Linked DNA regions of Stegostoma tigrinum. The protein of the gene in region 1 interacts with the protein of each later gene in a pairwise test. Links are inferred from orthologs where the notes say so. Each region holds a gene or a part of one and is shown in the gene's direction. Other genes may lie near its edges. The genes, in order: fam168a, ubiquitin-associated and SH3 domain-containing protein B-like, dtx2 and ubiquitin thioesterase OTUB2-like.

Region 1 (8,573 bases):
TGGATCATTGCATGGCTGATGAGTCAGGGAGGTGGAATTGGGCTTTGGCCTTGAGATCATTGGTATTTCTTTCTCTGGTTCCTTTTCTATGTTTCTATTGCCAATGGGGGTTCTTGAGGAATTCTGTCCCTTCATTCAGGATGTTCCTCCAAATCAAAATATTTATTCAAAAACAAGGGTCTCCGTCATGTTGACATTTATGTTGCATTTCTTAAGGGAACCCTTCAGGGAGCCTTTGAAAGGTTTCGTTTGTCCTTCTCTCATTCAACTGCCTTCCCAATCACTAGAAAAGTAGTACTTAGCAAAGTCATGGAGCTGTGAATAAGTCTCTGGGTCCTGATGGATTTCATCCCAGGATCTTAAAGGAGCTCAGTAATGAAGTAGTAGATGTGTTGCTGTTAATTTTCTCAAATTTGTTACATTCTGAAAAGATTCTGTCAGTTTGGAAAATAGCAAATATAATCCCTCTTTTTAAGATGGGAGGGAAGCAGTTAACAGGAAATTAAAGGGCAGTTAGCATGTCATCTATTGTGGGGAAGGTGTCAGAATCGATCATTAAGGAAGTTATAACTGGGCATTTGGAGAAACTCAGATAACTGGGAAGAGTCAAAGAGTTGTGAAAAAGAAATCATGTTCAACCAATTTATTGGAAATCTTTGAAGAAATAACATGCACTATGGATAAAGGGGAATCTGTTGATGCACCATGCCTAGATGCTGAGAAGACATTTGACAGGTTTCAATATGAGATATTGCACAATGCAGCAGCTTGTGGTTATAGACTTCCATATTAGCAAGGACAGAAGGTTGGCAGACTGGTAGAAAACAAAAGAATGCATAAATGGATCTTTTTCAGATTGGTATGTGAGGAGTGGAGTCTCACAGGGATCTGTGCTAGGCACTCAATTTTTAATAATTTATCTCAATGATGTGGATGAGAGGATCTAAGGCATAGTGGCTAAGTTTACATAGGACAAAGAGATAGATAAGAAATTATGTTGTAAAAGTGACAAACAAAGATGTGGACCAATACAGATAGATTTTAGCCCATTCAGATGCAATTTAATGTGGGGAAATGTCATTGTTCATTGACAGGTACTTAAATGGAGAACTGCAGAACTCTGAGGTACAGAGAGAAATATGTGCCGTGCTGTAAAACTGACAAAAGTTAGTATGCAGGTACAGCAAGTAATCAAGAAAGCCACTATTGGAATGGTATCCATAGAAGAGTAGTTCTGAACTGAACATAACGTCCTTACCTTTGCATAGGGTATCAGCGAGATCGCAGCTCAAATACTGTGAGCAGCTTTGGTTTCCTTTTTAAGGAAATATGCAAATGCAACAGAGAGGGTTTATTAGATTGGTTTTTTGAATTAATGGATTGTTTTATCAGGAAACATTGGTCAGGCTAGGCTTGTTTCCACTGGAGTTTGGATTTGACTGAAGTGTATAAGATCCTGACAAGGCCTTTGTTGTGCAGTAGTAACATTCCAACGTCTGAGCCAGGAGACCTGGATTCAAGTCCCACCTGCTGCGGGGTAGTTAATAACATCTCTGAACAGGTTAATTTTTTAAAAAAATCATGACACAGTGGACACAGAAAGGATTGTTCCTCTTGAGGTGAGTCCAGAACTAAGGCATGCTTTTAGGAAAGAAATAGAACATAGAACATAGAACAGTACAGCACAGAACAGGCCCTTCAGCCCACAAGGTTGACTCATTTCTCTCAGATAACAAGGTGTACAGCTGGATGAACACAGCAGGCCAAGCAGCATCAGAGGAAAGAAAGAACAGGAAAATTGATGTTTCAGGTCTGGACCCCTCTTCAGAAATTGGGGAGGGGAAGGGGACGCTGAAATAAATAGAGAGTGGGGGGGGAGACGATGATGGAAGGTGGATAAAGGAGCAGATAGGTGGAGAGAAGTCGGGCAGGTCAAGGAGGTGGGGATGGAGCCAATGAAGGTGAGTGTGGGTGGGGAGTTAGGATGGAAGTTGATCAGTTGAGGGAAGACAGACAGGTCAAGGAGGCGGGGATGAGGCTAGTAGGTAGGAGGTGGGGTTGGGGTTGGCCAGTGAGGTGGGAGGAGCGGAAAAGTGGGAGAAAAGACGGACAGGTCAAGGAGGCAGGGATGAGCTGGGCTGATTTTGGGATGAGGTTGGGGGTGGGGAGATTTTGAAGCTTGTGAAGTCCACATTGAGATCATTGGGCTGCAAGGTTCCCAAGAAAAATGTGAGTTGCTGTTCCCGTAGCCTTTGGGTGGCATCATTGTGGCACTAGAGGAGGCCCAGGATGGTATGTCATCCAAGAAGTGGGAGGGGGAGTTGAAGTGGTTTGCAACTGGGAGGTGCAGTCGTTTGTCACAAACCGAGCATAGGCATTTCACAAAGTGGTCTCCAAGCCTCTGCTTCGTTTCCCCAATGTAGAGGAGGCCATATCAGGAACAACAGAATACAATATACCATATTAGCAGATGCGCAGGTGGACATCTGTTTAATGTGGAAGGTTTTCTTGGGGCCTGGGATGGGGGTGAGGAGGGAGGCGTAGGGGCAGGTGTAGCACTTCCTGCAGTGGCAGAGAAAAGTGCCAGGAGTGTTTGAGCTAGTGGGGAGTGTGGAGCAAACAAGGGAGTCACAGAGACAGCGGTCCCCCCAAAAGGCAGATAAGGGTGGGGAGGGGGAAATGTCTTTGGTAGCGGGGTCCGATTTCCGATGGCAGAAGATGAAGTGTTGAATCCAGAGATTGGTGGGGTGATGCGTGAGTATGAGGGGGATTTTGTCTTTGTTGTTATTGTGGGGAGCGGTTGTGAGGGATGAGTTGGGGGAAATGTGAGACATGCGGTCGAACGCATTTTCGATCACTGTAGAGGGGAAATTACGAATCTTGAAAAACGAGGACATCTGAGATGTGTAAGTGGAATGCCTCACCTTGGGAGCAGATATGGCAGAGGCGAAGGAATTGGGAATAGGGGATGGCATTCTTGCAGGAAGGTGGGTGAGAGGCGTATTCCAGTAGTTGTGGGAGCCGGTCGGCCTGAAATAGATATTGGTTTCCAGGTGATTGCCAGAGATGGAAACAGAAAGGTCCAGGAAGGAGAGAGAGATATCAGTGCTGGTCCAGGTGAACTTAAGGTTGGGGTGGAAAGTGTTAGTAAAGTGAATGAACTGTTCGAGCTCCTCATGGGAGCATGAGGCTGCGCTGATACAGTCATCAATATAACGGAGGAAGAGGTGGGAGACGGGGCCAGCTGCGGAAGATGGACTTTTCCATGTGTCCTACAAAGAGGAAGGCATAACTTGGATCCATGCGGGTACCCATGGCCACTCCCTTTGTATGAAGGAAGTGGGAGGAGTTGAAGGAGAAGTTGTTAAGGGTGGGGATGAGTTCGGCTAAGCAGATAAGGGTGTCAGTGGAGGGGGACTGGTCAGGCTTGCGGGAGAGGAAGAAGTAGAGAGTCTTTAGGCCATCTGCATGGGGACTCCTCTGATGCTGCCTGGCCTGCTGTGTTCATGAAGCTCTACACCTTGTTATCTCAGATTCTCCAACATCAGCAGTTCTTACTATCTCACTTCTCTCAATAAGATTTGCACTGCTCTGTTTTAAAAGTTAACAGAGGCAGAAGTAGGTAGATAACATTTCTGCCACTCAAATGCCAGGCAATACCATTTCCAATAAGAGACAATCTAACCACAACCTCTTGACATTCAAAGGCATTACTCTCTCTGACTCCTCCTCTATAAACACCATTGAACAGAAACTTAAGTGGACTTGTCATATAAATAAGTGGCTGCAACAGCAGGCCATTGGCTAGAAGTAATGCAGTGAGGAATGTCCTGATTCCTCAAAGCCTGCCCACCATCTACAAAGCATAAGTCTAGATTACAGTGGAATATTCCCTATTTGCCTGGATGATTGTAGCTCCAATGACATCCTTCACACCACTCAGGATAAAGTGGCCTGTTTGACTGGCAACTCATCCACTCCCTACACCATTGGCACTGAGTAGCATACTACATACAGTACATAGTGTACGGGAAATTTGCCAAAGATCCTTAGCGAGTTCCAAAATGGCAACTACTTCCAACTAGAAAAAGACAAGGATAGCAGCTATACGGGAACACCACCACAGCAAGTCCCCCTCAAAACCACTGAAATATATTAGATAACAAGGTGTAGAGCTGGATGAGCACAGCAGGCCAAGCAACATCAGAGGAGCTGGAAAGCTGACGTTTCTGACAGACCTTATTGAGAGAAACGTCAGCTTTCCTGCTCTTCTGATGCTGCTTGGCCTGCTGTGTTCATCCAGTTCTACACTTTGTTATCTCTGATTCTCCAGCATCTGCAGTTCCTACTATCACTGAAATATATTGCTATTCGTTCCCTTGTCATTGGGATGAAATCGTGGAATTCCCTCCCTTACAGTATTGAGTCAACCGACTGCAGCCGTTCAAGAGGGCCGCTCACCACCACCCACTCAAAGGCAACTAGGGACAGGCAATAAATGTAGGTGCAGCCAGTGATGCCCCTGTCCCAAAACAGAATAAAATCTTACTCACGGGAATCAAAGCTTATCGGGCGAAGGTGAGAATGTGGAATTCGCACCAGCCACGATCTTACTGAATGGTGCAGGAGAACCTGGTGAGCCGAAGGGCCTACTTCAGTTACTGAATCGTGAATTCTGTCTCTACCTGAATACCTACAAAGATTATCCGAAAGGTTTAAAACCGCGGAGTGGCACTCGGAACACAAAGACGATTTTGAGGAAGTTGCCGGGATGTTTAGCGAGAAGCCCAGACAGCAAGTAGCCACATCCTTATCGGACACAACTCCAAAAAGTGAAACCCCCGGAGAGTGTAACGCTCAATCTGTTCACAGTGACTGACAGTTGGAGCTGAGGGGGCGGGGCGTAGCGTAATACGGACTGCGTCATGGCGAGTGGCAAGAGGCTGGGAGCGTGTCGGGCGTGGCGTCATGCCGTTGTCCCCGCCCCTCTCAGCCAGTTGGGTTCGGTTTGTGAAGGAGCCTGAGCGGAACGGAGAGGGAGAGCAATATACACAACAGGCAGGCAGGCAGGGAGGGAGGTGCTCGGTCCGGTACTTACTGGTAAGCAGCACCTTTTATCCCCCTATATACATGTACACACACCAGCTTCAGCACACCTTTATGTTTAAGCATTAAGCTGAAAAGTGTATGTTCATTATGAGGGTTAGGGAGGGGACATGGAGTAGAGGCAGAAATAAAAAGAGGTTTTCTCTTAAGATGGACGTTTTTTTTGTGAGTGAAATCTGCGGCTTGATTGCGGCAGGGCTGATTCCCTCCCCTCCAACTTTAACTAATGAACTATTGGTGGCGGTTGTGGGGGAGGGAAGAGCTGCGGAGATTTATTTGTTTGGGGGAGATGGTGGATTGTTTCTGTGTGGAAGGGAAAAATAGTAATCATAAAAATGGAGGTTTGGCGTTGACTGACTTTTGCTGCTTGGCTTCCCTTGCTCATTGACTCCTATTCCCAGATAAGATGAAGAGTTTTTACTCTCTCTCACCTCAGGAATGCAATGAGGCGCGGAAATAACCGCGATTTAGGAAATAAATTGAAATTTTCAATTTTCATGTTGGAGTCCAATTTTTATGTTTTAATAAAAAAATGTTCGTTTAAACGCATTTCAACTTTTTAAGTTTTTAAAATGTTCTTTCCCTAACACTGCCACTCAGTTCAGGCAGCAGTAATTTCTTTCTCCATTCCGTGCCTTTTCTCCAATCTGTGGCAGGTCCAACTGGAAGGGATAGTTGTTCCTTTTTTTTGTTTTATTTTAAAATGGACGTTGTTAGTTTACTTACAGACGCATGGTTGCATCTAATTGAACTAAAAGCGTCCACCAGTTCAGTGTCGATGAATGACCGTTGATGTATCCAGTCGTTCATTTGGGATTGCTTTCTTAGTCCTCAGTCCTCTTAAAAAAAACTAAAAATGCGAAAATGGTCGCGATCGTTCTGCTGAGACGGAGCTGCAGACGCATAGCCATTTTTTAAAAACTGGTCATATGGTGCGATTTTTAAAATCGGTTTGTACGTGCAGTATAAAATCGTGTGTTTTGAATTTCGAAAAGGTGCTCGCACTTTTAAAATCCTTATTTGTGTTGTGTGGAAGCATGATACGAATGCTCAAAATGGACGGGTTATGGCTGCTGCTTGTAAGAGCTGAAAGGCATTAAAATCATTTTTTTTGGATGAAGGCAACTACATTTCAATGCGTCTGCTATTCGGCGCATTTGGTCTTCCCCCGCTAATTTGTCCCTTTTTGAATATTTAGGATAGGCTTTCATAAACTCACGGGGCAGTTTGCATTGATCTTTCGATTGTCTCTTGAGCCTAAAAATTCCTTCAGTTTTTTTTTCCTTATTCTCTGATGCAAGTGCGTTAACTCTCACGTCAATCCGGATTTTTTTTTGTGTATGTATTTGCATTGAACTGTCAGAAGTTTACCCCGGTTTCTTTTGAGCGGATCCTAGGTCGCTTCAAAAGGAGGAAAATAGTTTGGAATTTTATTTTTAGTTAGAAGGTTTCCAGAAGAGTTCTTGCGCTATAGTGTTGATGTGCTGTCAATCCACAAAGAAAACTATCACCAACTTTATGTTGTGTACAGTATCGCATCTGGGCTTGGCATGTTTGTATTAATTTTTTTTGGGCTTGTGATGTATTTTTCTATGACAAGGCTTCAATAAATGTGTTCACTTGATTCAGTATTTGGGTAATTGGCCAAAATGGTATTTTGTTGATCATGCGTAAAACCGTTTGCTTCATCAAATTAATTTTTTTGCTGCTGGCACTTTTCTTGAATCAAGTTTTAGATTGTATGCAATTTGGAAAAAAAATCTTACTTTCAGCTATTTTGTTTTTAGTCAGCTAGCCTAAATTTGTGCATATCTCTATTAAATATAGAAATCCCAGTAAGAAAATGTAGGTTGCTAGTTCTCAGTCGCTTGCCAGTTTTTTATGATCATTTGATGAGGCATACCCTCTAGAACAGACTAGCTGCTTTCAGGTTAAACCTCACAACCAGCATTCTGAGAGGTATTCACTGTTACAGCATACTAGCTGTAGCAGTAGATACTGCCCATTTTCTCTACTCTTCACCTAACTGATGCAATTTGTATATATGTCAATCTGTAATTTGTCAGAAATTACATTTCCCTTAATCATTTTACATTGAGTTGGCACACAAGAATGCATGTTAGTGAAATATGTGGTAGATTCAAATTTCTTTGCAACGTCAGATTCATTTTTAGACCAAATAGATTTTTACATTTATTGCAGGACTATCTGGGACAATTGAACATGTTGGAAACCTGCCTTATGAATCTAGCACCTTAGCACCACAGGTCTGACAACAATCTAGTTGGTGTTATTTGTAGCACTGGTCTTTAATTGCAAAAGTTGGATTTTGTTTCTTGGCTTGTCCAGGCTCTCTCTCTCTGGCATGGATCTTTCAATTACATGGTTGCAATTTCGTATCAAGAATGGGAGTGTTGAGTTGAATGTCAAGTTTGTGACCTGGAAATGATCTGAACTAGATTTATTGAGAACTGTCGATGTTGTGATTGGTTATGCTGAAATTGGTTAAATGTAATATTGCACCTAATTCTGTGGGCGTGTATGCCTTTCTTTTTTTTTAAACCCTCAATTATGTACATAGGTTTGAAGTCCAAATGCCATTCTAAACTGATCAATATGTAGGAAGATTATTTAAGGACTATAAATCACCAGACTACTTTGCGATTAGAGTATAAGTTAGCATTAGTGTCTGCTTTCATAAATTATGCAAGGTATGTGCAGATTGGTGAAGTTGAATTTGTGTGCTGTGCACACAGCATTATGTAAGCAAACAATTAAATGAGTGACATAACTACTGTGGGTAACAATAATTTCATCTCATTTTATTAAAATGAGAAATTTTAAAATTCACATTTAAATATTTGTGATCTTGCAATAATCCGATGTTGCATAATGAAAGTGCACCTTTGAATTAACTGTCACCCCCACCACCATTCTTCAACCCAAAATTGGCTGACTTGGCTTGGTTTGATGGTGCTGCCCCTGTACGACTTGGTATAGGCCATGTAGCCGAGTTACTGAAGTGAACATAACTCCAATTTACTTATGTAGTGGAGAATATCTCTGTATGCAAAATAAAACAAAAGAACTGCAACAGTTTGAGATCTGAAATGCACAAAAACAGAACCTACTGGAGAAACTCAGCAAGTCTGACAGCTTCTTGGGAGAAATCAAAATTAATGTTTAGAGTCCAGTGTTAACTCTGTTTTCCTACCAGATACTGCTGGGCCAAGTGATTTCTCCAGTTTCCACACAAATTTCTCCAGTAATTTCTCTGTGTTATGGCTCTACACAGTTCTTCTTCAGTGTGTATGCAAATACATGTGAATTGGTGGGCTGATGCTCAGCCACATTAAATTTTATGCAAAGTATTTTGTAACAGTATGCCATATTGTGTGTCGTTATGTTCAACTTGTATTAAAGTGCTGATTGTAAAACTTTTACTTCACCTTTTGTACTCAACCGAG
Region 2 (7,540 bases), on another chromosome or scaffold:
TTTTGGCCGAATGGAGCCCTGTGCCCACTTAGTTGAGCCTTGTATGTTATACACAGGGATGAATAAATAGGTTTCTTACCAGCTGCTTTTGCAATAATTATAGAATTATAAAAGGACAATCCTCCTCTACTGTCTGCAGAAAAAAACACATACCCTTCACAACCTCAAGATATCCTAGAGTATGTTATAGTGAACCCACATGCTATGAATCAGATCTAAGCTCTGCACTCCTGCCATACCCAGTTATGAATGGTAGTGGATAATGAACCAGAAGAGGAGGCTCCATCAAAGTTTAAATCCTTAATGGTAGGGGAGCCCAGCACCTCAGAGCAAAAGACAGGTTGAAACATCTGCATCCATCTTCAGCCAGAAGTCCTGAATGGATGATCCATCTTAGCCTCCTACAGAGGCTCCCTGCATCACAGGTGCATGTCTTCAGCCAATTCGATTCACTCTACGTGACATCAAGAAACATCTGAAGGTTCTGGATATTGCTCTGGACCCTGACAATATTCTTGCAATCGTACTGAAGTTTATGTTCCAGATGTAGTTGTGTCCCTAGTCAAGCTGCTTTGGTTTAGCTACAACACTGATAATCTACCCAACAATATGGATTTTCTTCATGCAACAATGCATTTTATTCATAAAATATTTAAAAATATATTTCAAAGCATTACAAATTTGACATTATTGAAACTGCATTAAAATTAGACTTTTCTCCATTGAATTCTTTTGACTCAATTCAATTGAAATACACATGGCATTTACTCTATGCATCCAGCCACAAGCATCCAGCCTGAGGGATTCTATGGGAATCCAGCCCCTTGTTACACAATGGCTAAAGGGTCTTAGAAGCTGGTCTTTCTCATTGCATTTCTGTAATGACTGTTCCAAGCTTTAGTACACCCCTCAGAACATAGTCCTGAACCTTGGAATGTGCCAGTCTGCATCACTCAGTCAAGGGCAAGCCTTTGTACTAGAAGACCAGCAAGTTTCAGGCACACCAAGTTTCAGGTGGTCTTTTACCGAGTTGATGGCCCTCCAGTTTGTATTCCTGGTAAAATTACCCAGGTATGTCCTGTCCACAAAAAGCAAGGAAATTCCAATTGTGCCAAATATCACTCCATCAGTCCCCTCTGAATCATCAGCAAAACCATAGAAGGTATCACCAACAATTTTTCTTTGTATTTTTAAATGAGATGCAAGTTTTGATGGCTGGGCTACGTATTAGGAATTTTTAATTGCTAAGAGAAGATGATGATGAACTGCTTTTCAAAATTGCTGCAGTCTTATCAGTATGTGTCTTGGACGGGAACTTGCATGGTGGTATTCCCATGTATCTGTTGCCTTTTTCCTTCTAGACGGTGATATCAAACGACACTTAAGCAATTATAACCTCATTGAATTATGGCATCAATGAGCTCAAGCAAAGAGGTGTGAATGGGAATTGAAGGAATTCTGTGTTCTGAAGAAGGGTCACTGGACCCAAAATGATAGCTCTACTCTCTCTCTACATATGCTGCCAAACCTACTCAGTTTTTGTTTCTGATTTACAGCTTTTGCCGTTCTTTGGGGTATTTTTAGTATAAAATTCTGAGATTCTGACCAGTTCTCATAGCCACAGTATTTATATGTCTGGTCCAGTTCAACTGTTCATTAATGACAACCCCTGGAATGTTGATGGTGGGGGATTCAGCAAATGTAATGCCATTGAATATCCAGCGAAGATCTTTAGATCCTCTCTTGTTTGGATTGGTAATTACCTGGCACTTGTATGGAGTGACTATATCTCGGCACTTATCAGCCCAAACCTGAATGCTGTCCAAATCTTACTGCACAGGGATATGGACTGCTTCAGGTTATGAAGTATTGCAAATGGTGTTGAACATTGTTCACTGGTGATTGCACATCACAACTTCTGACCTTATGTTGAAAGGATGGATATTAATGAAGCAGCTGAAGAAAGTTGGGCCAAGGACACATACCTGAGAAACTCCTACAATGATGTCTGACTGCTCAGCTAATTGACCTTTGAGAACCACAATCTTTGTGTGAGGAATGACTACACATGATAAAGAGTTTTCCCTCAATTACCATTGGCTCCTTGGTGCCATAAATTAATACGGGCTGCCTTAGTGTAAAGGGGAATCACTCTCACCTCTGCTGTGGAGTTCAGCTCTTTTGTTCATGTTTGCACAAGGCTATAATGAATGGCCCTGGTGGATTTTAAATTTAACATCAATAACCACGTTCTGAGGAAGGGTCACTGGACCGGAAACATTAATTCTGCTTTCTCTCTGTAGACCTCCAGGATTTTTTCAGCAATTTCTGATTTTGGCTTGGAATTCTATGACACATAACTATATCACCATTTCTTCACTGTTGCTGTGTCAAAATTATGCACTGTACCTATATCACCTAGATTGCAGTGGATCACAAAGGCAACTCCCCACCATCTTTTATATTCCTTAAAAGTATACTTTATTCATAAAAGTTGTAAAGATTTTACAAAATTATTGTGACTTGGAAATACAACATGTTGCATTCAATATGACTGTAATAAATTTAATACTTACAAAATGCATTCCACATTAGATATACTGCCCAGGTATGAAAACAATTCAGATGGGAAATTACAGAAAGTGTAAAAGATGTACAATTATCCTCAATCCACCATGGTTTATACTGAGGTGCCTCAATATATTGTCATTTCTCTTGATTTACAATTACTTTCTTTGAAAGGCCACAACCCAAGGATTTCTGCAGTTCTTAATCCCTTGGTACACTATGGTTAAGATGCTTTAATCCACCAGCTATCTCCATTACACCTTTGTGGCGGCTGCCCCAAGCTTTAGTGATCCCTCAGAGTCATCACTTGTCTTCTCAAAGACCATCAGCACTGGGCAATGAAATATTAGTCGTGGCAATAATGCTCACAACCCAACAAGCAATTAACAACAAGTAAGAGATCAGGGACTAGGAATACTGTGGAGAGTAACTTACCTCTTGACTCACAAAAGCCTTTCCATCAATTACTAATGGAATACTCCACACTTTGCATGCAGCTCCAAAAACACTCAAAGCCATTCAGGACTAAGCAGTTTGCTTGATTGGCACCACATCCACAAACACTCACTCCCTCCACCATAGACACTCAGTAACAGAAATGTGCACTATCTACAAGATGCAATGCATTATTCATCAATGCTGCTTAGACAGCATCTTCCAAACCCATAACCACTTCCATCTCGAAAAACAAGGGCAGCAGATATTTGGGAACACGACTAGCAGTAAGTTCCCCTCCAAGCCACTCACCATTCTGACTTGGAAATATATATCCATCCCTACAGTGTCACTTGGACAAAATCTTGGAATTCTCTCTCTAAAGGCATTATGAAACTGTCTACAGCACATGGACTTCAGTGGTTCAAGAGGAAGCTGAAGGGTAACTAGGGACCGGCAGGTAAATGTTGGCTGGCCAACGACACTCCACACCCATGAATGAATAAACAAAGCGCCTTCAAAATGCTATGACTGTAGCAATGTGAGAAAAACGGCAACCAAACTGGTCACAAGCTGTTTCCAGATGTTGTTAGCACCAGAGACATTTACCCTGGATAACAAGGTGTAGAGCTGGATGAACACAGCAGGCCAAGCAGCATCAGAGGAGCAGGAAGACTGACGTTTCGGGTCTGGACCCTTCATCAGAAATTCAGATTTCTGAAGTCCAGACCCGAAACGTCAGCCTTCCTGCTCCTCTGATGCTGCTTGGCCTGCTGTGTTCATCCAGCTCTACACGTTGTTATCTCAGATTCTCCAGCATCGGCAGGTCCTACTATCTCAGAGACATTTACCCTGTTCTTTTTCAGGTAGTGCCTTGGGATTTGAGACAGTAGGCCAGGCCTCACGTTTCACATTTCACCTCATCCGAAAAATGGCACCTTCCAAAGTGCAGCATTCCTTCAGCGCTGCACTCTGTGCTGTAATCTCTGGCATGGGACCTGAACTCTCAGGCTCAGACACTTCATTTTGAAAACTCACTATTGATGCAGTTTCCGTGAGCTCAATCCCCAATTAACAATTGAAAACTGTATGGAAAAACTTTCATTACATAGCATTAAACTGTTAATAAACTCATCCGGAATAGTTCAGGAAATATTCGTTAAATAAAAACTTCATGCCTTATTGGATAGGTAGGTAGTTCATTAATGCTCCTGAACTTTTCTGTGAGATCCAGATCCGGCAGCGTGGGTTGGGAGCTCCATATAAGGGAGGAAGGGAGGGAAGCTGTTTATACTGTCCCTGACCCATTCATAAATTAGCCAGTTACAGAGAAGTCTCCAGTTCGAGTGCTACAGTAGCAGCGTTTCTTTGCTACTTCCATGCCCGCTTGTGTAATATTTTAACAAGGGGATGGTTGGACTTCCGACGTGTGTTTGAAGTGAATATCGCCTGAGTGACTTTAGACCCTGTGTATGTACCAGGAAGTCGATCCTTTACGCTCTTGAGCTGTGGTTGTGTGAAAGACGCTGTCTGCATTCTGTAGATGCGGGGACTGATTTGTCTGGAATGGCACTTTAATCTCGCATACCATGGCTTCTAAAGAAGAGCTTTACAGCAAAGTTGTGCCCCGAAAGAATAGGCAGAACCGACCCGGGACCGTTAAACATGGGTCAACACTCGAGGTCTTTTTATCAATGGGATTCCCTAAAACCCGGGCGTAAGTTGGATGAGTTAAGATGTATCTATTTCTTTCTTTGTTTCTTTTTATTTTGTAGCTTCCACATTGTTACTGTATCCAAATGGCGCTGGCTCTGATACCGTGTTTCCATTTGATGTAACGTTTCTTTCTGTAACAGACCTTGCTACATTGTTGAGAAGGGAGTTGTCACATGGCCTAGAGATTCAAAACATGTTTAAAACGGAATAGTGTTCGCTAAAAACGCCCAGTGTTCAGTGTGGCATATGACAGGCTATCATTTCACAGTCTCTCTGTCTCTCCCGTCGTATATAATACAAGAAAAAATAAGATATAAACTGGCTGCTCTCTCACCCTTTCTCTCTCTCTCTCTCACACACACACAATAACAAAACTGCAATGTAAGGCCTGCAGGCAGGAAGGTGGGTGATGGTCCGGGTTTGTTCTGGAACCGAATGGAGTGGCTCCGTTGCAGTTTTATTGCCGGTCACCCAGAGGCTGCAGAAAGGTTTTGAGAAGTGTGCAGTCCCGGGGCTGTGAGGATTTCCCAATTCGGGATATGTCTGTTTCAATCACACTCCTTTCCCCCTCCCCCTCCACCTCCCTTTTTTTGGTTAAGGGGTTGCTTTTGAAAGCTGTTTTTTTTTAAAATCGAGGGAACTAAATTTTCCAGGAAAACAAAGCAAACATATTGCTGTAAGCGAAACAGAAAATGCTGTAAATACTTAGTAGACCCGGCTGCATATGTGCAGAGAAAGCAGAGTGAACATTTTCAGGTCTCGATGACCTTTCATGAACCCCCTGCGTATTTCTAATATATTTGTTCTTTTTTTTACAATGAGTTGGTTCTGCATTCGGTCCAGAATGAACATAGAATCCTGTGCACTCTACTGTTTTCTCAAACCACTAATGAAAGCCGCTTTCTCTCTCCCTCTCCCTGCAAGCTGTTCTTAAAAAGGTGAATGCGGCAAAATCTTTTCCCCAACTAGACATGGTTTTCCAAAGCAAATAGTTTGAGTCCATGAGCACAGAAAGGCTCCTTTACTCTTTTTTTTTAAAGAATTGTATTACAGAACAACGCGTTGACATCCTGCACTAATATTCTCTATATTAAAATTCAGTTTAAAAAGAATACACAATGTTTCTCTCCACTCCCTGCAGCACCTGCAATTTTCTGGAATACCACAACTTTTTATAATTCTCCTCAAGTGGAGAACTTCTGTTGGGGAGTTACATTGACTCCACATACCACAATGAGAAGACATTGTTTCCACTAGCAGGAGTCAGTAACCAGAGTTATCATTTGGGTCAAAGGCGCTGAGAGGAGTTCCGGAAAAAAAACATTTTGAAATGTAGCGACTTATGATCTAGAATGTGTTATCTTAAAAAAGGTGATAGAAGCAGATTCTGCAATTCTCAGAATTGTATAAATGCTTGCTGGAGGGGGCGAAAACTGCAGGAGAGTGGGGTTAATTGAATAACTTTCAGACTCAGCACAGACAAGATCGACTGAATGGTCTCACTCTGCCACAAAGTCAGATTCTGCTTTTGCAATGTTACCAGTTTTTGAGCTTGCATTCTGTGACTGTACCAATGATTTATTTCAGTGGAAAACTGAAAACAAATGATTTTGCCTTCGCGAGAAGGAACAAACCTGTCTTTCTACAACTTCTGGCACTACCTTGGAATCCCTCAGTTTTAAAATTATTGAATCACTTTTATATTTAATATAAAACAGCCACTGCGGAAATAGAAGATAATAAAATGTGAGGCTGGATGAACACAGCAGGCCAAGCAGCATCTCAGGAGCACAAAAGCTGACGTTTCGGGCGTCAGCTTTTGTGCTCCTGAGATGCTGCTTGGCCTGCTGTGTTCATCCAGCCTCACATTTTATTATCTTGGAATTCTCCAGCATCTGCAGTTCCCATTATCTCTGATACCACTGTGGAAATAGGATTTCTTTTTGCCTGCTCATCAGCCTTACCAGCTTCCCTGTTGGGTACAATGACCACTCTATTAACCTGAATTTGCCTGTTTTCATTATTTTGCCATTTGGTGTATCGTCCGTTGTAACAGGGGATGTGAAGCTGCAATCATAGAACTTCTGCAGGATTTGATATCCTATTAGGACTTTGGCTGCATCAATGCTGAGCTGATTTCTTACTCTGGGGGAGGGGGGTGGTTGTCAATTGTTCCCATACAATGATTTCCTGATCTCAGTCAGGCAGGCATTTAGAGAAAGGCAGCATTGTTTAACTAAGGTACAATCATACAATCACTACTGTGTGGAAGCAGGCCAGTGAGTCCATGCTGACCATCCCAAAGACCATTCCTCCCAGACTCTTACCCTATCCCTGTAACCCTGCATTTCCCATGGCCAACCTGCCTAACCTGCACATCTTTGGACGATGGGAGGAAACTTATGCAGACATGTGGAGAATGTGCAAACTCCACACAGTGGGTGGAGTTGTCCAAGGGTTGAATTGAACCTAAGTCCCCAGCACTGCAAGGAAGTAGTGCTAACCGCTGAGCAATCAGGTCGCTCCCAGTTTTTCAATTTTTTTAATTTAGTTTTTTTTTGAGCTAGCAGAGAGGGCTGATTAAAGCAATACAATGATGTAATGTATGGAGACTTGCAAAAGATTTCTGATAAAGTGCCGCATTAGTGTTGTCAACAAATTGAAACCTATGAAGTTTAAGCGATAGTGACAGCCTGGATATGAAATTGATTGAGTGACAGGGAAGAGCATGTACAGATGCACGTTCTTTGGACTGGAGGACAGTATTGAGTAGGGTTCCCTAGAGAATGTTGAGTAGGATCACTGTTTTTCTTGATCTTTA
Region 3 (7,704 bases), on another chromosome or scaffold:
AATGACAGACTGATCGCTATGGAAACTGGAATCTGATCTTCAAGAAAAGACCAAGAAACTATGATAGTTTGTATTACAGTTCAATTTGAGAATGATAGTAAAGCATTGGAAACTGCGTGGAATGAAAGAGTTATAAAATGTAAACATCTAGACCAAGCAATCTTGGAACTGACTGCAGGATCTAAAGCTGTTCACTTCAGCTTTATTGAAATGGCTTAAATTGAACAACACCCTCGTACAGTTCTTTGGAATTCAGAGATTTATGTCCTTCACTTGGGACATCTCACATTTAACTATATCCTTGACACTGGAACTAATTCAAGTATTTGGAGAGAGGTGAATTGGAACAATAATTCCCGTCCAGCTTTTTGCCATACATGACTATCACTGCCTGTACGGGGCCAGGGTTCATTGGACTGTTCGAGGACACGTGCGGGCACAATCACCAGGGATTTCAGTTGGCGGTTGGGAAATAAATTATCCTAAATTATATCATTAACTTTATTAATAATTAAAATGTAAACTATGAATGTTAATTATATAATTAATGTTTATGTTTGACATGTTATACTTTGTTTATATTTTACAATTAATGTATATTTATTACTGTGTTAATACTATTAATCCTAATGGTGGGTTACTACAACTAATATACACATCAAATATTGTAGGTGACGCTGGACAACTGATCAAGGATTCTCAGATATTGGGGAATTAGTCCTTCAACCTTCTGATGTGACATTTCATCCCTGTCCTCTTTCAACAATAGAGGTTCCCTGTGAGAGGCTTCAACACATCAGTGAGCAACACAAGGCACTTTTATGAGTGTCCCGCAAACTGTCACATCGTACTCTCATCAGGTAGCAAGTACAAAATAAAGCTGAGATAACAAAGTGTGAAGCTGGATGAACACAGCAGGCCAAGCAGCATCTCAGGAGCACAAAAGCTGACGTTTTGGGCCTAGACTCTCTGATGAAGGGCCTAGGCCCGAAATGTCAGCTTTTGTGCTCCTGAGATGCTGCTTGGCCTGCTGTGTTCATCCAGCTTCACACTTTATTATCTTGGATTCTCCAGCATCTGCAGTTCCCATTATCACAAAATAAAGCTGTTTGCTTGTAGTTGTGAGCTATCACCTCTAGATGTCTCTGCTGAATTATATTGCTTGAAGTCAATATTTATTTAACTTTGTTTAAGATAAGTTATTAAGAATCATTGAATCCCTACAATGTGGGGACAGGCCCTTCAGCCCAACAAGTCCACGCCAACCCTCAGAGCATTCCACCCAGACCCATACTCTCTATAGCCCACCTAACCTACACATCCCTGAACACTGTGGTCAATTTAGATTAGATTCCCTACAGTGTGGAAACAGGCCCTTTGGCCTAACAAGTCCACACCGCCCCTTGAAACATCCCACCCAGACCCATCCCCCTATAACCCACGCACCCCTAAACACTACGGGCAATTTAGTATGGCCAATCCACCTAGCCTGCACATCTTTGTACTGTGGGAGGAAACCGGAGCACCCGGAAGAAACCCACGCAGACACGGGGAGAGCGTGCAAACTCCACACAGACAGTCACTCGAGGCTGGAATCGAACCTGGGTCCCTGGCGCTGTGAGGCTGCAGTGCTAGCCACTGAGCCACCGTGCCACCCATAAAATTACAGGTATTCTTTCTGTATCGTTTTGAAGTCATTCTCTGTCTTTCCCATTCACCTGTCTTTACTACTGGACATTTCTTTGATTTCATCTGGTCACTATCCCCTTTGTCTCTGCCAGTTCCTTGCCAAAACCATTACTTTCCAGATCACCAATCTTGTAGCCAGCTCCTGGCCATCACAGCAAACCACTGGGGTATAGTAAGTTTGATAATGAAATATTGAGTAATTAGGTTTATTTGCTTTCTATTGCACAAATGGTCTCAACATGAAACTCAAACAGAATGTTATCCCTTGAGGGAGGGGGAACATAGAAAAGATAATTCTAGAACTGTTTTTATTCACTCATGGGACATAGTTTTGGTCATTACTCACCACCCAAGAACTGAGTGGCTTGCCAGGCCATTTTAGAGGGGAGTTAAGAGTCAACCATATTGCTGTGAGTCTGGAACCACATGTAGGCCAGACCAGGTGAGGATGGCAGATTTCCTTCCCTGGAGATCATTAGTGAGCCAGACAAATTTTTCTGACAATCAGCAATGGCTTCATGGTGATTATTACATCTGTAATTCTAGTATTTTTTTAAATGAATTCATATTCCTCCATCTGCTGTGGTGGGATTTGAACCCAGGTCCCCAGAACATTAGCTAAGTTTCTGGAATAATAGTCTAGTATAATTATACCAAGCCATCACTTCCCTGTTTAGGCCTATTCCTTTCACTGTAATTTTATTTTGCACACTGATTTTTAAAAATAATTACACAAATTCTAAAAGAACTGCACTGTACAGAGTTATTTAGGTCCACTTGACATGTCAAAATACTTTATAGCCAAATTATGCTGTAATACATTTGCAGGGCAGATGGAATTTGAACCCAAACCATCTGATTCACAGATAGTGACACTAACACCACAACACAGGACCCTCATACTTTTGTTGGTAAATGTGACATCAAAATGCACGCAGAAAGATCCCAAATTGTACAATGAGATGAATAAAAATTATTTTTTGAGATAAAGCTGCTATTTGAGAAGTAAATGTTATATAAAGCATTAAAACTTTCTTATGTACATCTCATGCTGCGGAATCTCAACCTGCCTGAGTGGGCTAAAAAGGATGTAAGTTTAAACCAGCCATGACTCAAACTGTAACAATTTCCTCATTGACTCAGAAGTTGTGGGTCTAAATTTCACTCTGAAAATCGTAATCTGAATTGACACATCAAGCATAGTACTGTGAGGCTTTTTCCCCCAATTAGTCAGATTTTAAATTGTCGCCTTATCATCTCAAGTAAAAGTTCCCATTGTCCCATGGAAAGAACAGGAATGTTCTCTCTGTGTTCTGACTTTTCTTTCCTTTCAACATCCTTAACAATAGAGATCATTATTATGATACTTCTGTTTGTGGGAACCTGGTGTGTGGAAACGGCTGTACATTTCCTACATTATCAAAGTGACTGCTTAAAAGATCCTTTATTCACTGTAAACCATTTGGAATGTTGTGGTCATTGACAAGTTTGCAAAGGTAAATCTTAAGAGATCCAGCTAAAAGACCACAGTAGTTCTGAAGTATGGTACCATAAATAGAAGCAGAGACACGTATTTTTTAAAAAGACACTGAATTAGTGTAAGGATCTGAAATGCATATGGCTGGAATAATTAGATAATACAGCTGCTTAAGTGAACGTAGCACCACTTAAGAAAAATAAGGTGGTGATTTTGAAAAAAACTGCACAGAATACAATTAAATGAAACACTAGTCAATTTCGAAGGTGGATTTACCTTTTTTTAAATCCCAGATGTTTCTTTGTACCACAATGACGCTATATTGATTTAATATCGGATTTAAAAGAAATACCCCTGCAGATTTATAACTCGTCTAATTCTCATCATCGTTTCATAAGTTTTTGGGAGAGAAATAAATGTATTTGCACCTATTGACTGGATTTACCAGGATGTTACTACTACCCCTTGTACCAGTCTGTGCTGTCTTCGTGAACGCAGCATTCATTCCAAATGATAATTTGCCTTAGAAATAATCTTCCGGACACGAATTTTCCCATCAGCCCTGTACAATTATTCTATTGTGCTCTAGCATGACCCCGAATTGAATGTGCGTCTGCGAAACCAGCGTTGACAGGAGCATGAAATAAAGTAGACAAATGGGAGCAGCGGTTCGCTTATTCATTCCTAAACGTGCCAAGTGGATTATGCACTCAAATAAAATCAAAATACCCGGATTCTGGAGATTTTGAAATAAAAACAGTGTTGGAGAAACTCTGGTTTTGGAAGGAGAAACAAAGTTAACGTTTCGCGTTTAGTATGACTGTTGGGAGTTTTATAATTCTCCAGCACTGTGTTTTACAATGATTATGCATTTTGTTTTTACACGTGGGTATTGCTGAAACCTTGGTGATGTTTATAATTACAGAGTTCACTTTATGTGGCCTGTGTAATTAAGTCTCCCCCGCCAGATATACACTATCATTCCGATAAAAGTTTATTACCAAGTTTCATTTCTCGACTCGCACCTGACACCAGCCGTCAAGAGTGGGCGCTCGCTGGAGCGGGGTCGCATGGGATTTGTTGTTCACAGCTAGTGAAACAGCAGCTAGGCTTCCGGCGCTGTTGGCCGGAAAGGACTACAGTTCCCAGAAGGCAGCGCTGGCGTTGACACCCTGGAGACGAGGAAAACAGTGAGAGGGAGGAGTTTGAATCGGAAAGTTCTCGGTGTTTGTTGTTGTAGCCGATACAAACTCGTAAATCCACTTTAGAGAGGACGAGGATGGCAAGTCAGGGCGTCGGAAATGGCGGGGTAGCTGCTGGAGGAGGGGGCCTCGGTGCCAGTGGCTCGGCTTTCTCGGTCACCCCTTTCTCTGTGTCGGGCCCAGGAGCTGGCCTGGGTCCGCTGGTCTCCGTGTGGGAGTGGGAAGACGAGGCGGGTCGTTGGAGGCCCTACAGCAGCCGGGTGAGCGAGCACATAGAGCGCAACCTCCAGCATTTGCAGGGAGCGGCTGCGGCGACAGCTAAAGGAATCAACAGCATCTCCCTGGGCCAGGCCGAGCCCAGGTTGGCTCCCTACATCATCGATATCCCCACACTCACCCAGTTCCGACAAGACACTGGTAAGACTAGCCCCTCGCTCTCAAAAGTGTCAGCAAGATTTAATCACATACTGATTATTTACAATCTTCAGCTTCACTTTTGGTGTTGCTATCAGTGATTCATTCAGTCGTCCTAAATGTTTGCTCCAGGTGCAGATTTATTTGTTAAAATGTTTGCATTTCTTCTGTAAATTGCTTTGCCGATTTAAGCCCGAGGTTTTTTTGACTAAGAAACAGTGTTTTCAAAAACTAATATCACCGAAAAGAAATCAAACGTTAGCCAGGTGTAGAGCTGGATGAACACAGCAGGCCAAGCAACCCACCTATTAATCTCATGCCGCCCCCTTGACCTGCCTGTCCTCCCTGGACTGACCTATTCCGCCCCTACCTCCCCACCTACACCCACCTTTAACTGGCTCCATTCCCGCCTCTTTGATCGGTCTCTCTCCTCTTCCTCTATCCATCTATCCGCCTCCCCCTCTCTCTCCCTATTTATTTCAAAACTCCCGTTCCCTCCCTCATTTCTGAAGAAGGGTCTAGGCCCGAAACGTCAACCTTCCTGATGCTGCTTGGCCTGCTGTGTTCATCTAGCTCTACACCTTGTTATCTAAGATTCTCTTGCATCTGCACTTCCTACTCTCTCTCAAATATTAGCCATACTATATTAAGGTTAAAAGATTTTTCTGCAGCACTACAGTTTGTTTAGGCTACTAAAACTAACATAGGTAATTGTTAATATTTAACTGTGAGACTAATCATTTCAATACCTTGGTAATAGTTGCTATTGTAATTAGGGTATATATTTGTCAGATTCCCCCTCTCTCTCTATTTCAAGGGGAGATGGTAAGGTACTAGTAACCCAGAAGCCCAGGCTTTGGCTCCAGGGAAATGGATTCCAATTCCATGACAGCAATGGGAATTTAAATTCACTTAAGTAATTCAAAAACTGATTATGCCAATAAGACAAATCTCGATTATTTTAAAAACCTAAGTAGTTTGTTAATTGCTTTTTGTAAAGAAGCCTGCCACCTTTACTTGACCCAGCCTGCGTGTGACTCCATATCAACAGCGGTGTGGTTTATTCTTAACTGCCCTGTGAAATGGCCTAGCAAGCCACTCAGTTCAAGGATGACAAGGGATGGGCACCAAATGCTGACTTTGTTTTTAATGAGCTCATTGACAAAGATAGTTGGAACTTTATCTTTGATATCTTCCCATAATTGCAACTGTGGCTCAGGGAAATTGGGGTCTTAGCACTGACTTTAAGTTTTGATGTTCTGCGTGTTGTGGAAATGTGCTAACTTACTGTAGTTTGGAATGATTCATTTTTCAGGTTTTTTCAAGTCTGAAAAGAAGCAAGACAAATGTATGCTTTCTCAAGTCAAAAATAAGATTCCATGTTTCATTTGTGATTTTAGAGCTAGACTTTGCAAAGTTAACGTGAGAAATGAGTCAAACACATGAAGTAAAGATGAGCTTTCACAAAGTTGTCAGTGGCTCCTCCACATTGGGACTGTTGATTGTTCATGCATGACGAGAAAACTGAAGGTGTTTATGACCTTAAAGCTGGCTGTCAAGAAAGTTTAATGCCCCCTCAGACATCATTGTTATGTTGAAATTGCAGTTTTTGGTCTTCAATTTTAGAAACTTTCTACAGCTTCATCTTGATATTGAAATCTGGCAGGAAAGAATCTATTTGGCTTGTCTATTGAAACAGGAGAGAAAAAAGGAATCAGTTTTGCAGAGCATTATGCAAACAGGCTTTCTTTGGGTGGATGAAAAGAGAGCAAATAAAGTTACTTTAGGATTTTGACTTCTATTTTAAACTGAAATACAATCTGGACCTGAACACTTTGGATTTATTGACTTTTTTTAACATGAGCTGCCATGTATTTTGTTAAATTCTAGTTGTGTTGGAGGCTTTTTCCATGTGTTGGAGTTTTTGCCCATGAGTTTGATTAACAAGACCAGTAATTTGACCGTAACAGTACATTCAGTTAATGTTAAAGGATTTCTTTAACACTTGAGACCTGTCTTGCATTAGATTGCAAGAATGTTAATTTTTGTAGTAACTTTCATATCACATAAATCCCAAAGTTCTTTGCATTACTTTTCGTACTTAAATGTTTTTGCCAAACACAACAGACAAACAAAAAATAGAAATTGCTGGAGAATCTCAGTGATCTGGCAGCATCCATGAAGAGAAAATGTGAACATTTTAAGCCCATTGACCCTTCTGCAGGCCTTGACTCATCATTTTATTGTAGTAAAATCCCAAAAACAAAAATTAGATGGCCTACTAATTTTGCTGGTAGCGAAGGATAAATATTGTCTAGGGTTCCAGGCATATTTCCCTGTTGAAGTTGGTTGGCTCGCCGAGCTAGTTTGTTGTTCCGCAGGCGTTTCGTTACCATGCAGTGCAGCCTCAGATGAAGTGTCGATGTGTTTTCCCACCTGGTTTTTAAACTCTGGAGTCCTTTGAGCTGGATTGTCTCACTTGCAGTTTTCCTTCGAGGTGGAGTGCATATGGGGTCGAGTTCTATGTATTTACTAATGGCTTTCTTTGTGGAGTGCCAGGCTGCTAGGAATTCCTGTGCCCGACGCTGCTTAGCTTGTCCAGGATTTTGGTGTTGTCCCAGTCAAATTGGTGGTTCTCCTTATCCATGTGGATTGCGATGAGTGCGTATTGGTCATGTCTTTTTGTGTACCCTTGTTGTTAGTTTCCTTCCTGTTTGTCCAATATAGTGTTTCTCACAATCTCTGCAGGGGATCTTACAGATGATATTGGTCCTGTCCTTGGTGGGGAGTAGGTCTTTAGTTTGGGTGAGCAGTTGTCGTGGGGTTAATGTGGGCTTGTGTGCCACCCTGATGCCCAGCAGTTTTTGGAGTCTTGTGGTTAGTTCCAGTGTGTTACTGATGTTCTGCACTGATGATGTTATC
Region 4 (7,920 bases), on another chromosome or scaffold:
GTTTCCCTCTCTTCAGATGTTGCCAGACCAGTGAGATTTTTCCAGCATTTTCTTTCTTTGTTTCAGATTTCCAGCATCCACAATATTTCGGATCAACGGTACAGCGACATGTGATTGGAAGCGCATCTTGTGATCCACGAGATGGAAAGGCTGCAAACACCTGAGATTGCTGCTATGGAGAGAGTGGTGGAGGCAGTACTTAAGAGGATGGAGTTTGCAGCAAGATAACAAGATTTTCCCCACCACCCTCCCACCCCCGCCAATACCCCACTAACCCTGTCTGTAACTCAAGCAGGTTCCTGCACAATCTCTAAGTGCCTGAAATATAGAGTCATAGAATCATACAGCATGGAGTCAGACCCTTTGGTCCAACTTATTCATGCCATCCAGACATCCCAATATGATTTAGTCCCATTTGCCAGCATTTAAACCTCTTTTATTCACAGTCCCATCCAGATGCCTTTTAAATGTTGTAATTGTACCCACCGCCACCACTTCCTCTGGTAGCTCATTCCATATAAGCACCACCCTCTGCGTGAAAAAGATGCCACTTTTTAAATTTGTACCATCTCACCTTAAACTCATTCCCTCTAATTTTGGACTCCCCCAGTATAGAGAAAAGAACTTGGCTATTTACCCTTTCCATGCCCCTCATGATTTTATAAAACTCTAGGAGCTTACTCCTCAGCCTCCAATATTCCAGGGAGAAATGCCCCAGCCTATTCAGCTCTCCCTATCACTGAAACCGTCTAGTCCCAGCAACATCCTTGTCAAGATAATAAAGTGTGAAGCTGGATGAACACAGCAGGCCAAGCAGCATCTCAGAGGCACAAAAGCTGACGTTTCGGGCCTAGACCCTTCATCAGAGAGGGGGATGGGGTGAGGGTTCTGGAATAAATAGGGAAAGAGGGGGAGGCGGACCAAAAATGGAGAGAAAAGAAGATAGGTGGAGAGGAGAGTATAGGTGGGGAGGTAGGGAGGGGATAGGTCAGTCCAGGGAAGACGGACAGGTCAAGGAGGTGGGATGAGGTTAGTAGGTAGGAGATGGAGGTGCGGCTTGGGGTGGGAGGAAGGGATGGGTGAGAGGAAGAACAGGTTAGGGAGGCAAAGAGAGGCTGGGCTGGTTTTGGGATGCAGTGGGGGGAGGGGAAGAGCTGGGCTGGTTTCTGTGGTGCAGTGGGGGGAGGGGATGAACTGGGCTGGTTTTGGGATGCGGTGGGGGAAGGGGGGATTTTGAAGCTGGTGAAGTCCACATTGATACCATTGGGCTGCAGGGTTCCCAAGCGGAATATGAGTTGCTGTTCCTGCAACCTTCGGGTGGCATCATTGTGGCACTGCAGGAGGCCCATGATGGACATGTCATCTAAAGAATGGGAGGGGGAGTTGAAATGGTTCGCGACTGGGAGGTGCAGTTGTTTATTGCGAACCGAGCGGAGGTGTTCTGCAAAGCGGTCCCCAAGCCTCCGCTTGGTTTCTCTAACGTAGAGGAAGCCACACCGGATACAATGGACATTTAACATCCTTGTCAATCTTTTTTGCATGCTCTCAAGTTTAACTACATCCTTCCTATAGAAGGCAACAGAATTGCATGCAGTATTCTAAAAGTGGCCTCACCGATGTCTTGAATAGCTGCAACATGATGTCCTAACTCCTAGACATTCTATTACAGTGATGACATCTTCAAACTTGTAAATAGAGTTAGAGCAAATTTGATCACACAATCGTTTGTATAAGGAGTATAGCGGCTGAGTACGCAACCTTGAGGGGCACCGATGTTGAGGATTATTGTGGAGGAGGTGTTGACAACTATGCTTATTGATTGCAGTCTGTGGGTCAGGAATTCAAGGATCCAGCTGCAGAGTGACGAGCGGAGTCCTAAGTCTCAGAGTTTGGAGATGAATTTGCATCTTTGCATTCTACGGATTGAATGTAGGGCAAATCAAAATTCATAGGCGTCCCATCTATGTTGCTGATGTGATTTCATGGATACAATTTGTTTTTGCCACTTTCTAATCATGATATATCACAACCTGGTAGTTTTTAGCAGAGGTGGTATCTTAGCAATTTTGGTCTTCTGTTACAACATTGAGCTGCTTTGTCCCATAAAATGTCTACATCAACTAGCTGTTTGAAATCTTTGTTGGACTTAGGGTCATATATTTGGATTTGAGCCATATATTTGGATATTGGTATGTATTTATAACTTTTAAAAAGCAATATGAATTTCCAATTAATGATTGAAAGGATGGTACTCTAATACTATGTGGTTCAAGATGTTCACTATAATGAAAAGGCTGAAAGTCTGAGTAATTAAACACTATCACTGTTGACAACTTATACTTCAAAATGCAGGGAGTAATACGTTTCTTGTTTTAAATGCAAAAACACTTCATTGGTACACATAACACTGTCTTTTAAATGGACATTCAGTGCCCCCAGAATCAGTCCAAATGATTCTTGAGACTTCTGTATTTTTTCCCTCATCTACCCGCTAACATCTTTGCAGTGAGAATGTTACTGGAGATCTTCCTTCTGGAGCGAGCAAGGTAAATCTTCCAGCTTCATTTTAACTCCTTTTGAATTTTTAAAAATTCAAGCTTGAGCTTCTACACACATTCTGGCAAGTTGAACCATAGAGCCTTTAGAATTTTAGTACTCTCTCTCAACATCTCTGGCAAAATAATTGTTTCTGATATTCACTGATATTTTAGGAAAGTCTTATAAACTCTGAAATTGTAGTAGACTTAAGTGATTATAGGGTGATGACGATTCTGACAATTTTGAAGACCATTGAAGACAATTTTAACGCACGTTCCTCAATATCAGACCAGCAGCAGCTCCCTATTCTGATGTGCATTTAGCCTCAGACATCGTCTACAAAGTGGATTCCACCTCCTTATATTCTCACTTATAAGTTTTTCATTGAATTCCTTTGCTAGTTTTTTGACGAGTTAGTAAATGTTATGATTTTTAGTTTGAAAACACCTTCATGCTTCAATACTTTTAGTGAAGAAGCCATTTCTGTTTCTCACTCACTAATGCCATATTTAATTCGCTCTTTTAATAAATACTGCTGCTGCTGGAAATCAGAAAAAACACAGAAAAAGCTGGAGAAACTCAGGTGGTCTGGTAGCATTTGTGAAGAGAAAAACAGAACTGACATTGAGTGCAATATAATTCTTCTTCAGAAAGTTCCTTTACAATACAACCTGCATCATCCACTTAGTCCCATAGAGGAATACAGAAGTACAGACTCTTCTGTCCAACTTGTCCATGCACATACTTTGATACATTGATCATTATACATGCAGTATAATTTGGATGACTGTGACGCCAATCAATTCGGAAGCAAAAACAAGAAGGCAGATTACTACCTGAATGGCTTTAAATTGGGAGAGGAGACTGTGCACCAGTTGCTGAAGGTAAGCTGGCATGTTGGCCTTCACTGCGAGAGGTTTCGAGTCCAGGAACATGGATGTGTTGTTGTAGTTGTACAGGGCCTTGTTGAGGCCACACCTAGAATATTGTGAACAGTTTTGGTCTCTTTGGAAAGATCCTCATACACTCAAGGGTGTGCAGCGAAGGTTTACCAGGCTGGAGTTCTGGAGAATGAGTGGGTACGTCATAGAGACTTATAAAATTCTAACAGGACTGGAGAAGGTAGGTGCAGGGAGGGTGTTCCTAATGGTGGGTGTGTCCAGAATCAGAGGTCGCAATCTGAGGATTCGGGGGAGACGATTTAGGACGGAGATGAGGAAACATTTCTTCACCCAAAGAGTGGTGAGCCTGTGGAATTCATTACCACAGGAACTAATTGATGCCAAAACACTGAATGTATCAAGAGGCGACTAGATATAACACTTGGGGCGAATGGATCAAAGGTTATGGGGAGAAAGCAGGATTAGGTTATTGAGTTGGACCAGCAGCCATGATTGTGAACAATAGCGGAGCAGGCTCGAAGGGCCGAATGGCCTCCTCCTATTTCAATGTTTCTACGAATTAAACAGGGTTTAAAACTGCCGCTCAAATGTCATCCACAATGTCAAAGGGCAGCAAACGCACCAGCTTGCAATGAGTTCAGAGTGCGCCAGACACTACCTTCGTGGTACCTGAACCTCCACCCGGCCCACAGCCCGAGGAGCACGAACCAGGGGCACTGAGGAAGTTCTGAAGGGTCACCGAACCCGAAACGTTAACTCGGATTTTTTTTATCTTCACAGCTGCCAGACTTGCCGAGCTTTTCCAGCAACTTCTGTCGTTGTTCCAGGTACACTACCGCTCCCCCGCCCTCCTGCCGTCTGATTGGACCGCCTCACCCCCACCTCGCCCTCCGGCCTTCTGATTGGACCGCCTCCCCACTTGGCCTCCTGCTGTCTGAATGGACCACATCCCCCCCCCCCCCCCCTTACTGTATGAAGGCACCGCACCCCGCTGCTGCACCAATTGGAACACCTCCGCCCCCCAGCCTCCTTCTGCACTGATCAAACCGCCTCCCACGCTCACGCTTTTCACTGCAGCCTTCTCCCTCGCTCTGTTTGGATCTCCGCCTCCTCCCCCAGGCGCACGATGCTCCGATTGGGCTACCGTCTTCAACCTTCGGAGTACGCTGCCCTGATTGAGCCGCCGCCTGAAAGCAACGGAACGGCGGCTACCGCGTGGGGGCGGGGCCACCGCTTGTGACATGTCACGCGTCACTTCCGGCAGCGGGGTAGGCGGAGCTAGGTGACGTCCCACCCCTGAGCAATGTGTCAATCGCGGGGCCCCGTGCTGCATCTCAGTGCACGGCAGGAGCTCAGTGCTCACCCTTCCTCTTTCTCCTCCACTGTGGGTGCAATGGATGGTGCAGTAAGTCTGGGGGTTCGTCCTTTCGCTCCCTTCTCCTTACCCCCACCCACCTTCCTGCCACTGTGAGCAGTTAAACATAATCCCATAGCATGGTTGGGGGAGGGTGGTTTTGAGAATGGATGCTACAGGATTGATGGGTTGGGATGAAACAGGATGGTTGTTGGCCACTACTCCCCGATAGATTTTGTAGGTTAGATGCCGTTGTCACAACACCAAGCTAGGGAAAACGTAACCAGTTCTGCTGACCAAGATATATGTCCTTTCTGTGCTTTCACCCGTCTGCTGTAAAGCAGTGAACTTAAAAGATATGCTTGTCTTTAAATTGTGCAGGAGTTTTACAAAAAGTTGTGAGAATTTAAGGTGAGATGTGCTTCGCTAAACTAGGGGGAAATGTGTTGTGGGCAGATAACATAATTTCTCCAAATGTTGCGAGTGCTGATGGAAATGTCAGTCTGTCTGGCAGCAGTTGTGGATTGACGGTTAACATTTCAGGTCTGCTGATGAAGTCACATCATGAACTTGATGCACACTTTGCTTTGGTGGTCAGGATCAATGATGTATTTTCTTTTTATTTGTATTATACAGTTTGTTAATTAAGTGATGCTGTATTAACAAAGCAAATGTTGTGTTGTTTCGGGGTTTACAAATGCTTCATTTGGTATCCCTTCAAATTCTTGCTCTAGATCAAGACTCCAATAATATCCCAAAATCCTAATATCAGCCATTGTGAAATTTCTATTTTTCACACCTTCTTGCAGTCTCTCACTAGGATTGCCAATGAGGATTTGAAACCAAAGTCCAGTAGTTCAGGGTGTTCCAACCCGTGCCCTAAAACTGATGTCTTGTAATCTCGTGGATTCTTTGTACATTGTAATATAGGTGTGCTGTGTTCAAATTTATTCTTCAGGTCGCAGATGCACTGGTCAGTAAAGAATGATTTCTGATAAACTTTCCACTCATCTCCACCACATTGTATGCCTTTTACTTTTGCTTTCGCTTTCATAAGAAAAAGCATAGAATGGTAAAGATTACTGGGAAGCCTGAGGACTGGGAAGCCTTTTAAAAAGCATGTACTGCCGAAGCTATTTGAGATGATGAAATATGAGAGTAAGCTATCTAGTAATATAAAACAAGATGGTAAGGTTTTTTAAGATATCTAAAAGTTAAGAGAGAGGCAAGAGCGGACATGAGATCCTTGGAAAATGAGACTGAATTGGTACTTTGCATTTGTTTTCACAGTGGAAGACACCAACAGCATGCTTAAACTTTGACAGAGTTTGGGCCAGATGTGAGTGTAGTGGCCATCACTGAGGAAAAGGTGCGAGGAAAGGTGAAAGGTCTGAACCAGACCTGGACTTGCTCATTGCCTGGGCTAGATGAACTACATTCCAAAGTTCTGAAGGAGAAAGTGGAGGAGATTGGGCAGACATTGGTGGTGACCTCTACACTTAATCACTTGAGTCAGGGAAGGTGTCAGAGGACTGGAAAATGGTTAATGTAACACCATTGTTTTTAAGAAGGGAGGGAGGCAGTAGGTAGGAAACAGTAGGCTGGTTAGTCTGACCTCAAGGGGAGGTCATGCCTGACAAATTTGTGAGGATTCTTTGAAGTCAGACAAGGGAGAGCCAGTATATGTGATCTATTTGGATTTCCAGAAGGCCTTGACAAGGTGTTACACAGGAGGCTACGAAATAAGAGAAGAGGCTGTGATATAGGGACAAGGTATTGGCACGGATAGAGAATTGTCTGACTGACAGAAATGGGATAAAGGGCTATTTTTTCAGTTTGGCAGCTGGTGACTTCTGGAATTCAGCAGGGGTCTGTGTTGGGATCACAATTCATGTTATACATTAATGATCTGGATGAAGGACCTGAAGATATTGTTACTAAATTTTCAGATCACACAAAGGTAAGTGGGGTTTCAGGTAGTAAAGGAAGCAGGAAGGTTGCAGAAGTACTCGGGCAGGCTAGGAAGTTGGGCAAAGAAATGGCAGACAGAATACACTGTGCGAATGTGTGAGATTATGCACTTTGGTAAGAAGAGTAAGGGCATAGACAGTTTTCTCAACAGGGAAAAGCCTCGGAAACCTGAAGTAGAAAAGGGACTTAGGAGCCCAAGTCCAGGATTTTGTTAACCTTTCAGTTGCAGTTAGGAAGGTGGTTGCAATGTTAGCATTAATTTCAAAAGGGCTAGAAAACAAAAGCAGAGATGTACTGCTGAAGCTATTTGAGGCTCTGCTCGGATTGCATTTGGAATATTGAGAGCAGTTTTGGGCCCCATACCTAAGGAAGGATACGCTAACATTGGAGGGGGTGCACAGGAGGTTTACATGAATCGTGCTGTGGATGAAGGGATTGTCAAATGACAAGTGTTTGAAAATTCTGGGTCTGTACTCAATAGAGTTTAGAAGGATAAGTGGGGGGATCTGAGTCAAACTTACAGAATACTGAGAGGTCTGAATAAAGTAGACAGAGAGGATGTTTCCACTAATAGGTGAGACTAGGACATGAGGGCACAACATCACAGTGAAGGGATGACCCTTTAGAACTGAGATGAGGAGGAATCTTTTTAACCAGAATGTGGTTAATCTGTGAAACTCTTTGCTGCAAAGGGATGTGGAGGTCAATACAGATAGATCAGTACTTCTTTGGTAAGGGGATCAAGGGTTATGGGGAGGAGGCAGGAGAATGGGGTTAAGAAACATTATTGGCCACTATCAAATGGTTTAACATACGCAATGGGCTAAATGGCCTAATTCTGCTCCTATGTCTGTGGTCGTCTTATCTCTGATAACCAGCATTTATGCTGAATAGATGGACTTTAGGAAAAGAAATTCTGCTTTACATTATTTCTAAAGACTATTTCTAAATGGTATGAAAATGCTCATTAATGTAGTTTTTTGACTACTTTTTCATGAAGATGGCCTGCACATTATATTCTACCAACCCCTCATTTTATTATTCTTTAAAGGCATTATCCTGTTTCCTGTGCATCCTTTAATATTTCTGTGAAATCCTGTCATCTTCAATGGTTAATGCTTTAGTTGCTGTTCCATTCATGTTTGTTTCAAGAGG

What was found.
Region 2: the proteins of fam168a (region 1) and ubiquitin-associated and SH3 domain-containing protein B-like interact in binary tests that used the Homo sapiens proteins (3 or more experiments, as listed by UniProt). The two-hybrid records come from large-scale screens. The link is inferred for Stegostoma tigrinum from reciprocal best matches to the Homo sapiens genes FAM168A and UBASH3B.
Region 3: the proteins of fam168a (region 1) and dtx2 interact in binary tests that used the Homo sapiens proteins (3 or more experiments, as listed by UniProt). The two-hybrid records come from large-scale screens. The link is inferred for Stegostoma tigrinum from reciprocal best matches to the Homo sapiens genes FAM168A and DTX2.
Region 4: the proteins of fam168a (region 1) and ubiquitin thioesterase OTUB2-like interact in binary tests that used the Homo sapiens proteins (3 or more experiments, as listed by UniProt). The two-hybrid records come from large-scale screens. The link is inferred for Stegostoma tigrinum from reciprocal best matches to the Homo sapiens genes FAM168A and OTUB2.

The regions. Positions count from the first base shown.
Region 1 is NC_081359.1:91,582,934-91,591,506, reverse strand, and holds the start of fam168a (protein FAM168A), read left to right. Parts: upstream 1-4,986; 5' UTR 4,987-5,100; intron 5,101-8,573.
Region 2 is NC_081385.1:4,780,729-4,788,268, reverse strand, and holds the start of ubiquitin-associated and SH3 domain-containing protein B-like, read left to right. Parts: upstream 1-4,322; 5' UTR 4,323-4,592; coding exon 4,593-4,720; intron 4,721-7,540. UniProt on the Homo sapiens protein: Interferes with CBL-mediated down-regulation and degradation of receptor-type tyrosine kinases. Promotes accumulation of activated target receptors, such as T-cell receptors and EGFR, on the cell surface.
Region 3 is NC_081380.1:9,059,914-9,067,617, forward strand, and holds the start of dtx2 (probable E3 ubiquitin-protein ligase DTX2), read left to right. Parts: upstream 1-4,323; 5' UTR 4,324-4,445; coding exon 4,446-4,785; intron 4,786-7,704. UniProt on the Homo sapiens protein: Regulator of Notch signaling, a signaling pathway involved in cell-cell communications that regulates a broad spectrum of cell-fate determinations.
Region 4 is NC_081363.1:25,975,785-25,983,704, reverse strand, and holds the start of ubiquitin thioesterase OTUB2-like, read left to right. Parts: upstream 1-4,723; 5' UTR 4,724-4,743; coding exon 4,744-4,857; intron 4,858-7,920. UniProt on the Homo sapiens protein: Hydrolase that can remove conjugated ubiquitin from proteins in vitro and may therefore play an important regulatory role at the level of protein turnover by preventing degradation.